3 linked regions of the Arabidopsis thaliana genome follow. The protein of the gene in region 1 interacts with the protein of each later gene in a pairwise test. Each region holds a gene or a part of one and is shown on either strand. Other genes may lie near its edges.

Region 1 (4,826 bases):
CCCGAGAATATAGGGTGTATATAAATATATATAAGGGATGGTCTTCTTAAACGTTTGATTTGATTGTATGCATAACAGAGTTGTAATTCAATGATAAATTTTCAATATGTTAAATACAAAAATCTTGCAAGGACATGCCTAACCATAATATATAAAAGAGTAATCTAATCAAAGATCATATTCGTATGTTGTTATATTCAAGAAAACTTGCATGAGGTTTTAAATATTCCTTGGAAAAAAAGTGAATATGAGAAAAGGGAGTGACAAAAGGGTTTAGGAGAGATTTTGGTGGCTTGGGAGATGGTGAATTGGAGCCACTTCTTTGTCTCTACGTCAAATCTTCTCAGTGGAATTTAAAGTTATATTATTGGCATTCAATTAAAAATGAAACACACATTAAAGAAGAGTGTCAAAAGTTGTTAATGGTTTCTATAAATTAGTTGATCCACTTTTAAGTTTTAACTTCTTATGATTTGGCAAGGAGGAAAAAGTATATAAAAAGTGGGCCTATCTATTGATAAAAAGACAAATGGAGTTCAATAGACTAGGGAATAATGATATCAACATATATGTATGAGATGTGTTTTGATTGATAAATAATTGTGAAAAAGACCACTCATTTTTACACAAGACATTCTCTCTCGATCTCCTCGTTTTCTCTCGATCAAAATGCTACTCTACGCTCCCTTCCCATAATGAAAACATCCATGCATGTACATTATCATATTTTTACTAATTTAGGGATCGAAAAGATTAATTTATAAAAAAGTAGAATACTATATACGTATCAATTAATATATGTGTTCAATGCAAAGCCGATGCAAACTTATATATTTCCTATCGTGATAATCTTATATAATAGATATTAGTTGTGTTTGATATATATAATAATTGCAGTACATATAATTCTTAACACCCATATAATGTAAAATTTTCTGATACAATTCTAAACCACATGTGTGCATTTTGAGTTTCACTTCATAGTCGGATTCTGCAAACTCCCCACATTAATTGGTCCACAAGGTACAAAACTTATCTCACATATATTCACCAATATATACAAATGTCAAATGCCTTTATAATGTATCACTCTTGATTGTTGATATTAGATAAGAATGTTGATATCATTACAAATGAAATGATATATTAGATTAAATTGGTAAATTTATTGTTACACCTCTAACAACGAAAAAAAGTGAGACAGTATAGCTACAAAACGGAGCGGGTTGAAAGAAAGAGGAAGTGGACAATGGGGATACAAAGTTTGAAAGGCACATCAAAAGTGGTGGGAGCAAAAGTTTGTCGTCAAGTAATTGGAATATAATGGCATGCATACACGAAAGCTGAAGATGCTACGACGTTTAGGATTTGGACTTACATTGTTTTTCTTCCTTTTTTCAGCTTCGGTATCTGCGATGTTATCGATAATGCTCTGATTTGGTGATAACCCCAATTAGATAGATGATTAACATAATTAAGTGGGATCGGATGAGACAAAACATATAGTGTCTTTAGATTAGTTGAGAAAGATTAGAGACAACGCGTGCCATTTCTGGTAAAACCATTACAACCACTCCACGTAAAAAGAATACATTATGTTTGTTAAATTTTCACATTTCTAATTTCTTACCCTCCATTTTGTAGTTTTACTACATCTCTACTATTTATATCTATTTTTATCCTATTCATTCTAAATTTGGATACTTTTACTGTTGACTGAAACTTGTAGCCTAGTTGTTGTTTCTTTTCACATGTACTCATGTATACCCAAGCTTAATGAAATTTTAAAGAAAATAAACAAGCGGTTTAGTTTTAATTTAATGGGCCGTTTCTTTATTTCAACGAAGCCCAATAGAGCCTGTTGAAAAAGGGTTTAGTTATTGTTGTTTACACATAAGGGCTTGAGTTTTATTTATTTCACGAAACGAGTAGAAACTTTTGTTTTATCAAAATCAGAACCCTCCTCTTTTACAGATTCAGGCCAATTCTAAATTCCCATCGTTCGTTCAATTTCAGACGTTAACCTCGGCTTGAAGGCTTCAAATTTCTGTGAATCCACGACGGAGATTGTAAGTTCCGATCATACTCACGACGATCTCATTCTATATGCACTAGAATCTTTTCCTCCTCCATTGATTAGATGATATGTTTATCCAGAACATGATGGATTCAATTAAGGCTTTTATTTTGTTGATCTGAATGGTACTGAGTTATGAATTGTTCGAGCAGATTGGTGAATTACGTTAGAATCAGTAATCAGCAAAAGGGTTAATGGAAGGAGAGAAGCTTATAGAAGATCGCGGCTTTTTGGCTGCTCCTCTGACCTTCGTCGTCGTCGTTGTCTTCCAATTGCTATCCAAGTGGCTTGACCAATTGAAGAAGGTAAAAAAGATAATACTTTTTGGCTTTTTTTCATATCCACATGAATCATCGTTTTGAATTATGGAATTTCTTCAGAAAGGGTCGAAGAACACGAGGGAATCAGAGCTGCGAACCGAAATTAAGCAGCTTTTGAGAGAGGCTAGTGCATTGTCTCAGTAAGCCATTTTGTTGTCACATTTTGTTTTGGTTCTAGTGATTTGAGTTAAGGAAGGTGCAGTTGTTGAAAAATATATATATGAGTGTTGTTGATTAGAGATTTATCTATTGTTTACTTGCAGGCCAGCCACATTTGCGCAAGCAGCGAAACTTAGGAGGTCAGCAGCTACTAAAGAGAAAGAACTTGCACAATGTGAGTATGCATACATTATTAGTTCTACATTGATTGCTTAGTGAGCGTAGAGTTCATGAAATTCAGAAATATGATTGATTGCTTAGTGAGTGTAGAGATCATGAAATTCAGAAATATGATTGATTGCTTTGTGAGTGTAGAGTTCATGAAATTCAGAAATATGATGCAACAGTTAGTTAGCTTTAAACATGAATACTATCTGGTAGCAGATATTCCTACTAAAGCACTGCATCATCATGGTGTAGTATTGGTGTGTGTGTGTATTTGTTAATTCTCATTTTGAAATTTTAGATCTGGAGCAGCATCACAAAGAAATCAAGCTTTCATACGATATGTATGGGAAGGGTCTGCTTGCTTCGAAGGTAGCTTAGTTTGTGTGCTCAAGCTTCTTCTTTTTTTCCGTCTAAAACTCCTTAATCGAGATGTGCTAAGAACTTTGTTTCTAGGTTGTGATATACCTAATCTTGGTATTGTGCTTCTGGAGGACTCCAATTGCCATTATCGCTAAGCAACTTGTTCAACCGTTTGGTGAGTAGTTTACTTTTACCAGGTTAAAGCTCGCTTATGGTATATAACACATAGGAAAAAAATGAATGTGGTGTGTTTCACAGGGACTTTGTTATCTTGGGGAACAGGAGGTCACATGACAGGCCATGTAATGGTAAGTTCCTTCTTCTCAATCCATTTATTTGGGCTTGTTCTTGATTGAGAGTGTTGGTTGGGTAAAAATGCAGGTCGGGATCATACCGTGGCTCATACTCTCAAACAGAGTGAGCAAATATGTGTGTAGGTTCGTGGAGTTCTAAATCGCATCCCTGAAAAGAGTGAAGATTGGATGGTTTTTGAGTTCAAAGTTGTAGCCTTTTAGGAGACACTTGTGGCAGAAATTGTGCTTCTCTTTTTGTTCCTAATCTTCCTTAACAATGTATATTTATATGACTCTTTTTCTCTGGTTGTTTGTTGGATTTTACCAATAACAAGTAGTTCGTTTTTGAGAGTTGAGCAGGTTGTTACCGTAGAAGCAGCCCCAATATTTACCCAATGTGTATATATACACCATAACAAACACATTGTCTCTATTCCTCTACGTGTTGTCAATTTTTATCTTGTAACACCGACTTTGTAAAATCAGATTCTAAAGACGCGTGTACTTATTCAACACGATGCCAATGCATGTGGTTCATTAAGATGTAGCATTATATCACCGAAAATGGAAGAGAGAAATAAAAATACTTACTATTATTAAAAGTGGGTAGCTTGGTGAAGGCACTAAAGTTTAATGGGAGAATCTTTTTAGCAATTAATTCGAGGGCATTATAATATCCACTTCCAACCACCACATTACTTAATTAAGGAAAACAATTTAAATCATAGTATCTTGTTTGGTTTGAAAGGAACGTGCACGTGTCACATCATCTACACTTGTCTTTCTAAATCAAAGAACTTGATTGGATTTGGTTAAGCCTATTAGTAAGAGTTAATAAGACAGAACCAAAGAAAAGGGTTTGGTTAGAGGGGCTAATTGGGAGATGGGAAGTGCAATAAATAAGAAGAAGGTTCATTAAATAGTTGTGTATGTGGGCATCCAAAGTCCCATCTTAATAATTTAATAATCTCCTCGGGATAGATAACAATCTTCTCTTCTTCTTCTTCTTCTTCTCTCCATTTTCCTAGAACATTAAAAGACAAATATGGAGCATTGTAATTTAATTAATCCTAAAGGTCATTGTGATATCTCACTTTCGTCTTTAAGGGAGGGGGGATGTTAGAAAAATGTTGTGTTTTGGGTTTGTGATCAGAACCCATGCACATTTCAATTCAATGCATCTCATAATAATATACGTAGTAACGTCTACAAGAACTTTTCTACCACTTGGCAGATTTAGGGACTATGTTTCTGTGTCTCTCTATCACCCCTAATTCAATAGCATATTAAAAGTTTACTCTAAAACAAGAAGTCACGACAAAATGAGATCATTGTGAAGATATAATTGGTTTACTATAAATTTCATGTAAGAAATAAGTATCCGTATTTGTAGGATATCTAAATTATGTGATCCGTTTTACACTTTTACTTAAGAGAAAGTTGAATTCC
Region 2 (3,860 bases), on another chromosome or scaffold:
TTTGTTGTCGATTTGTCAAACCTTCTCGTTACAAGTGGGATAATCTTCTTTACACAAGAGGATTTGTCTATTTATCTTCATGTTTAATGGTTAGTAACTTAGTACCTAAGTGTTGTTTTTATCTCACATTCTCACCAATAATTAGAATCCAGGAAAAGATTTCACAAGACATTCTTAACATTAAAACCAAAGAAAAAAGATTTCACAAGACACAACTCATTCCACGAAAATATATCTCATGTTATGAAGATTAAAAACAGGTCACCTATATTATATCTAAGAAAGAAGCAACTCAGTGAGACTTTGACCGAAAAAGACAATTCAGGTGACCGAATCTTCAGTTTGTTTTTGGCAGCCGAGTTTTTAAGACAAAATCCCCAAACTAAACGTGTGTCGTTTTTGTCAAATTGGCCAAACATGTAAATCCAGTGGGAAACTTTCCCATGATATAACCCTCTTACTATCAGCAAATTCGTACACAGTATTGGCTGTTCGCTTTCGAGATAGAGGAAACTTGTGGAAGAATAAAATAGTTGGTAGCTAGAGAGACATAGACATAACTAGTTACAAGATTTACATCTACCACGTATGTTGTTAAACTACATGTTGTTTGTTTAATCCTTAATACTTTGGTCAAACTATAATCTTCACTGGTTTAGTCTAAATCTAACTCAAACATATGGTGATGAAGGCAAAGAGTATCAAATTGATTTAAGGTAAATGAGATCTTACAATACTTGAGAAGGATCAGCTCCAAATTTTCTAAATTGTGACGAAATTGAAGAATACAACACAACAATGCATCTTTAGATCTAACACTTACAGATCTTCATCGAATCTATACTCAAAACATAACTAAAAACCCTGAGAATCCAGGTTTCGTTTGTTCTCTAGGATCAGAATCATCAAATTCGAGCTTCTCAAACTCGTCCTGCAACAACAGAAGCAGCAGCAGAAGTAGCAGCAGAATTACCAATGAACGAGAGTAAACCAGCATTAGCAGGCTCTTGTTCATCCAAGAACAAATCATCAGGAACCCTAAACGCACCATGTAAGCAAACAATCGCGATTCCAATCGTTAACGCCGATGTTAACAAAGATCCAACACTCGTCATAAACACAACCACAATCGTAGTCAAAACAAGACCAAGCAAAGTCTCACGATCTGAGAAACTACGACCAAAGAGAACCAAAGGCTGATCTGAAGATCGGAAGAGGTAGAGAAACATCCAGGAGCCTAAGAGAGAGAGGAGGACGAGAAGCGAGAATGGATGCGAGAGGAGGGAGAAAGCAAGGACTAACGAGACAATTGCGGAGTAATTGACTTTGAAGTAAGCGAGATTCTTACGGATCCGGGAGAAGGAATCGGTGAGAGAGTCAGGTCTAGCGAAGGAGCTCCGATCTACGAGTTCTAGCCATGGACGGCGTTGAGAGAGGCTTTCGCGGAGAGAGGACGAGAGGCGTGAGAGGAAAGTACGGAAGGCGTGAGAATTGATTGGAGGTTGAGATTGAGTGGCTGCTTGCTGGTTGGTGACGGGAAGAATCGCCGGAGAAGAAGACATTATTGGTGGTGTCGGTGAGTCTGTGCGCGGCGGAGAGAGTGTGAATTTGTTGTTCCGATTTTAGTGGAAACTGAAGTTGCGGCAAAACCGTGTTAGATATTCTAAAGGCCTAAATTTTATGGGCCTATAATGTTTTGGAATAGGCCCAATATATTAAGTTGGAGTTAATAGCAATTTTTAGATGGGTCTATAATGTTGGAAGAGGCCCAATATATTCCACTATTGGTTCATAAAACCATTTTTTTTTTTTCAACAAACAAACAATCTTACTGGTTCAGTGGTTTGTATCTATATGATGTTACAAGGATAACACAACACAAACTAGTAAATTAGTGTAGTTAATAATATTCTAATTTTATTTGCAGATAAATTACGACTTCCTACAATTGTTTATATGATCATTTCAATAATTATCATCTCATTTCCCACCCTATGAGTGTTCTCGTTGAACAAATGAAACAATCATATGATCAATTGATCATGAATGATAAAGGTTTACTAAATATATCTATAAACTGTGAAATTAAATTATATACAAATTATGTACACTTGAAGCTAAACAAATTATGAATTATATACAAATACAAATTATATACATAAATAAATATGAATTATGAGTTATATATGAATTATGGTGTCTTGAGACACCAGGAACTTGGGGCAAAGACAACTGGAGGGAACTCGAGAGCATTTTTAAAGACGCCTATGCAACCGGTGGTGGAGACTACATGAAGAAGGGGGTGCAAGCGATAAAAGATGAGTTTGACATGATTGGGACAATCAAAATGAGATAATGAAAACAAATGGAGGTTTGCGGAACTTGTTCATGTTGAGATGACCGAGATAAATGAGGTTGACGAGAATAACAAGAAGGTAAAGGTAACATGTAGTTACTTTCTCAAATTCGTGGATGGAAACAATAAGATATTCTCACTCAGCCTAGGCAATGTTGAACTCAAACGTTGCACTATCAATTAGTGAACTCCAAATCTACACTATCAATAATGTGTTCTTGTTTTGCTTCGTCTAGCCAATTTATTTGGCATAAACACTTGGTGTTTTAATTTGGTTTTTCTAAAATTCTACTGTTGCTTTATCTAAAACTCTACTTGAGTTTTGTTTTGTTTGGTGTTTGCGTTTGCTTTTTGGAGTGTTTTCTTTTGAACTTTTGCTCAAGTGATTGATTGCTTTTTGGAGTGTTTATCATCGAGTCGTTAGTTATGTAGCCACTATTAATTAGTCGTTTGAAAAGTAGATGAAAATTAAGACTTGAGGAAATCAAACACAATCCATAATTTGAATTCACCCCGAAGATAATGATCAGCTGCTATTGTAATCGTCAGGCTTCAAGTGTATATAATTTATATTTGTATATAATTCATAATTCGTATTTATTTATTTATGTATAATTATTTGAACACACTCCATAATTCGTATTCGTATTTATGTATATACAAACACACTCCATAATTCGTATTTATTTATGTATCAAACATATAATTAGTAAACTAAATAAAGACGAAGAAACATTATTGAGTAGAATAGAGGCATCGAATAACAATATTCGTCGGCCTAATCAAGAATATTTCTTGGAAATTCGGGTTGAAATCCACATATGGAAGAATCTTGAATAGCACGTACTTTATCAATTTAATTACATCCCTCTTAACGGTCTAGCTACTCTAATTATCATCTAAACCTTTTTCCTTGTACGTTATCTCATAATTTGCAGGACTCTTAATCATTATCACATTTCAAATTTTCAATATTTTACTAAAGAGACGTCTCGTGTTCGTGCGTAGCTCTATATTTTCTGGTTTACGTAAAATAGTTCATGATTTTGTTTAGCTTACCTTTTGAAAAAAATAAGCGAATCTTTCTTCCTTTACTTTTCTTCCACTCATTAAAATGTTCTCTCTATATATAAATGATAAATCTAGTCTTCTAATCATATACTCTCTATACCACACATATCTAGAACAACAACTAGATATTCAATATTAGCTCTAATGGCTTCTTGTGACACACCTGATGCGTTTGCTTGGCTTCAAACTCTTCCTCCTCTTTCTCTATGGAAAGGAAATTTAATGTCCATGTGTATTTGCTCTCCAAATTCATCACACCCATCTTTGAACTTCACTCTTACTCGTACCCCTCAATCTCCAAACTTTTTCACCTTCTCGATAGTAGCCAATTTCAAGACTCCTATTACTCTCTTTATTTCAAAAACTTTCAGAACCATTAGCACTAATTCAACTACTTTCCTCAATGAAAACGTCATATCTACTCTATTGATGG
Region 3 (3,663 bases), 3.2 Mb from region 1:
TTTATACTTGATGGGGTAGCAGTGAAGCCCTAATGGTAAGGGTTTTAGAGGCTAAGCTAACCAAGAATGCACATAATAAAACAAGAGATCCATACTCAGGGAAGAACTGGCGCAAGCATACTAAAGTAATTGCACGAGAAATTTGGTCAAGCGATACCTCTTGAAGTTCATCAACTGCTTCATCAATCCCTGCAACATCAGCGAATTTAACACCGGTTGAACCCTGAAATATAATCATTGAAGTCATAAAAAACTCAACCAAAAAAGTATTAGAACTGAAGAAACATGCATATAGGAGTAATGGTTAGAAACTTACATCAACACGAGCTTCTGCTTTAGACTGAGAAAAAGCAATCCCTTGCCATAAATCCTGCAAAAACATTTGAAGTGATTGAGGGCGCAAGCGATATCAATAGATTCTGCAAAAAAGTGTTGAGTGATTAAAGTATTATACCCATTTCCTAAAGTTCTTTGGTCTCCGTGACAGTGTGAAACGAACAAGAAGAACCATAGTCATGACAACAAGTAGGATTGGTTTGAGCATCTCCAGACTTGATGCTACACCACCAAATGTATAGAAATCAGAAATCCTTGAGAAGATGCCCCCATCGGCGAGAACATCAACAATGTAATCCCATGATTTTTCAAGAACACCAAGGAAGACGCCAACAAAAAGTTTGAGGAATGGCTTTGCTATAGGCCAAACAACATATACTGTAGTGACAAAGGCGAAACTAGTGACTGCAAAAACAGCTGAGGCTAAGAATCCTCCAACAACAACTGCGGCTGCAGCAATAACTGCTGTCACCATTCCCAGCTCAACCATCACTCTACTTGAAATAGAAGACGCAACAGGGTTTGGGAAGTCCGCCACTTTTCCAACCCAAGACTGCAAACATATAAACTCAGTCAATAACAGAACAAAATAGATCTGTTTGTCAACCTAGTGAATAGGTTATGAAAAATTCCTAACCAACACAATACAAAAATATTGAGGACATTAGATTATATAATCTAGTAGATAAGATCTAAATGAACAAAAGCGTGATCACCGTCATGTGCCTTTCAATTTCGTACTGCGGACCCGTGTATTCTTTCAGAAGAGCTTGAGCTTCTCCAACTTCAAGCTTCATTGACCTATCAAGAAACAGATCAATAAGAAAATCATACCAATATTCTCCATACATCAAAATTAAAACTTTTATTCTTCTTCTTAATCCTAGTAATTCACCATTTGGTTCTCTGTAAGCTCTTGACTCCAGGAATCTCCTTAAGATCAACAATAAAACCTCTATAGCCACTCGTATAAGAAACACCAGAAACTTCCTTCGATGTAAGCAGCTTAACTTTATCATTCTCCATAGCTTTTCTAAAATCTTCCAAACTCATCTTTGGTAAATCTTTCACATTTTTCTCAAACTCCTCTTCTTCAGATAACTCTGGCCCAAAAACTTGCTCCGGAACATAAAGCTTTCCTTTGTACTCCCTCAAAATATCACTCAAATAAACAGACTCTTCGCTTTTGTCTGTCTCTGTTTTCTTCTTCGAATCAAACTTCCTTTTGATAAATTCAAACGCACCCGTCGCCGCATTGGTGCCTTTGCTTAAATCTTCTCTCTCCTTCAGATTATACAGCTTATCACCAACTCGGTAACGAGGTTCCACTTGGCTAGGATTCTCCTTCAAAACCCTAGTTACGAAATCGTCAGCAGCAGGGGAATTGTTCGTCTCGCCGGAGCTAGATGACCCAGTTTTCAATTCGCACAAAACTGTAAACGACCGACGCAGAATTGGAGCTCTCCATCGAGTTTGAGTTCTCGCGGAGAAACTCGATGTAGTCGCGTGTTTCAATATCGATCTCTTGGGGTTTTCTGGGATTGAGAACCGAGTACCGAGTGAGAAAACATTGTCTATAGACGCCATTTTACGACGATAACCATGTACAGAAGAAAAAGAAGCTTCACTAGAATCGCATTGCGAAATTTGAATCTCTCTTCGTTCTGGATAAGAAAATAGAGCAATCGGAGGTTTATTCAATCTCAGGAGGTTTTTGTTCTGTTAGCTCTAAATTACAACAATTCGACCCGACTTCGAAACCCGGTTTCTGTTCCGGGTACATTGTTTGTTCACTAAAATAATTTATTTAGCTCTAGTCGGCCACCTTCGCTGCATCACACACACTTAAGTCCAAACTCCGTTGTAACGTTATCACTATGTCCAAACAAAACATCCTTTTGCTTTTACACGTCGTTTTGCTTTCCCTTTAACCAAAAATAAACTCTTTATCCCAACTAGTGAACACTTAAATCATCGCTACCAAACATCTCCACCGAGAAATGTCGAAGTCTTGTTCAAACCTCGCTTCATGCGCCGTCGCCACGCTCTTCATAGTCTTCTTAATCATCGCCGCACTTACTGTTTATCTCACAGTCTTTAGACCGAGAGATCCTGAGATCTCCGTCACTAGCGTCAAGGTTCCTTCATTCTCCGTCGCTAATAGCTCCGTTAGTTTCACCTTTTCTCAATTCTCCGCCGTTAGAAACCCTAACCGCGCAGCTTTCTCACACTACAACAATGTAATCCAGCTCTTTTACTATGGAAACCGGATCGGTTATACCTTCGTACCTGCTGGTGAGATCGAATCGGGTCGAACCAAGCGTATGTTAGCTACTTTCTCCGTTCAGTCGTTTCCTCTCGCGGCGGCCTCTAGTTCTCAAATCTCCGCCGCCCAATTTCAAAATTCGGATCGGTCCGGGTCAACAGTGGAAATAGAGTCGAAGCTGGAGATGGCGGGTCGGGTTCGGGTTCTCGGTTTGTTTACTCACCGAATCGCGGCTAAATGTAATTGTAGGATCGCGATTTCCTCGAGTGATGGTTCCATCGTAGCCGTCCGTTGTTAATATTAAAAAACAATTGTAAAAGTGACATGGTTATTTTTCAAAAATACATGTATGTGAAGTGAAACCTCTTGGGTTCTTTTCTGAATCCATCAAGTTAGAAAATTGCAAATATTAATACAAAGCTATTGTACTTTTAGATTTTGTACGTATACTAAATTACAACTTAACACGAAATTTTCGGTTGCCAATTGTAATAGCCTTAACATTAGTCTACATAGATATGCATGCTTTCCATATTCTTTGTTTGGATTAACGTTTTCTGTATAGTAAATACACTTATAGCCATAACGTAGGGCCGGGTATTCGGGTATGCGGGTCGGTTCGGGTAATACCCGATCGGGTACGGGTATACTGTTCTAGAATCCAATAGAGTAAATAGAAAACTTCGGTGGTTCGGTTCTAATCGGGTTTGGGTTGGTTCGGGTATAGAATTTTAGAACCGTTAAATACTCGAAAAAAACGGGTATCCTTCGGATTCATGTATTTTATATCCAAATACCCAAAAATTTACCCAAATACCCGAAATTGTACCAAATACCCGAAATTTGTACCCAAATAGTCGATAATTTTACCCAAATACCCGAAATTATACCCAAATAGTCGAAAATTTTACCCAAATATCTGAATTTTACCCGAATAACCGAAATTTTGTCCAAATATCCAAAACATTTACGAATATTTTGCATATATAAAATATTTAGTATTAAGTATTTAAATATAGGTACATTTAGTTTTTAGTAATTATTATTGGATATTTGGATAT

The links.
Region 2: the proteins of AT4G16444 (region 1) and PRA1.B2 interact in a protein complementation assay, tested with the Arabidopsis thaliana proteins (one large-scale study listed by BioGRID).
Region 3: the proteins of AT4G16444 (region 1) and AT4G23930 interact in a protein complementation assay, tested with the Arabidopsis thaliana proteins (one large-scale study listed by BioGRID).

The regions. Positions count from the first base shown.
Region 1 is NC_003075.7:9,273,502-9,278,327, reverse strand, and holds AT4G16444 (tail-anchored protein insertion receptor WRB-like protein), read left to right. Parts: upstream 1-1,880; 5' UTR 1,881-2,069; intron 2,070-2,229; 5' UTR 2,230-2,271; coding exon 2,272-2,382; intron 2,383-2,457; coding exon 2,458-2,537; intron 2,538-2,660; coding exon 2,661-2,731; intron 2,732-3,022; coding exon 3,023-3,093; intron 3,094-3,177; coding exon 3,178-3,259; intron 3,260-3,342; coding exon 3,343-3,392; intron 3,393-3,465; coding exon 3,466-3,537; 3' UTR 3,538-3,890; downstream 3,891-4,826.
Region 2 is NC_003071.7:16,863,814-16,867,673, forward strand, and holds PRA1.B2 (prenylated RAB acceptor 1.B2), read right to left. Parts: upstream 1,775-3,860; 5' UTR 1,563-1,774; coding exon 921-1,562; 3' UTR 633-920; downstream 1-632. Other genes in the region: AT2G40390 (neuronal PAS domain protein), read left to right, coding at 3,572-3,860. UniProt on the Arabidopsis thaliana protein: May be involved in both secretory and endocytic intracellular trafficking in the endosomal/prevacuolar compartments.
Region 3 is NC_003075.7:12,435,368-12,439,030, reverse strand, and holds AT4G23930 (Late embryogenesis abundant (LEA) hydroxyproline-rich glycoprotein family), read left to right. Parts: upstream 1-2,203; 5' UTR 2,204-2,336; coding exon 2,337-2,900; 3' UTR 2,901-3,031; downstream 3,032-3,663. Other genes in the region: FtsHi1 (FtsH extracellular protease family), read right to left, coding at 158-223, 317-370, 455-889, 1,053-1,137, 1,232-1,923.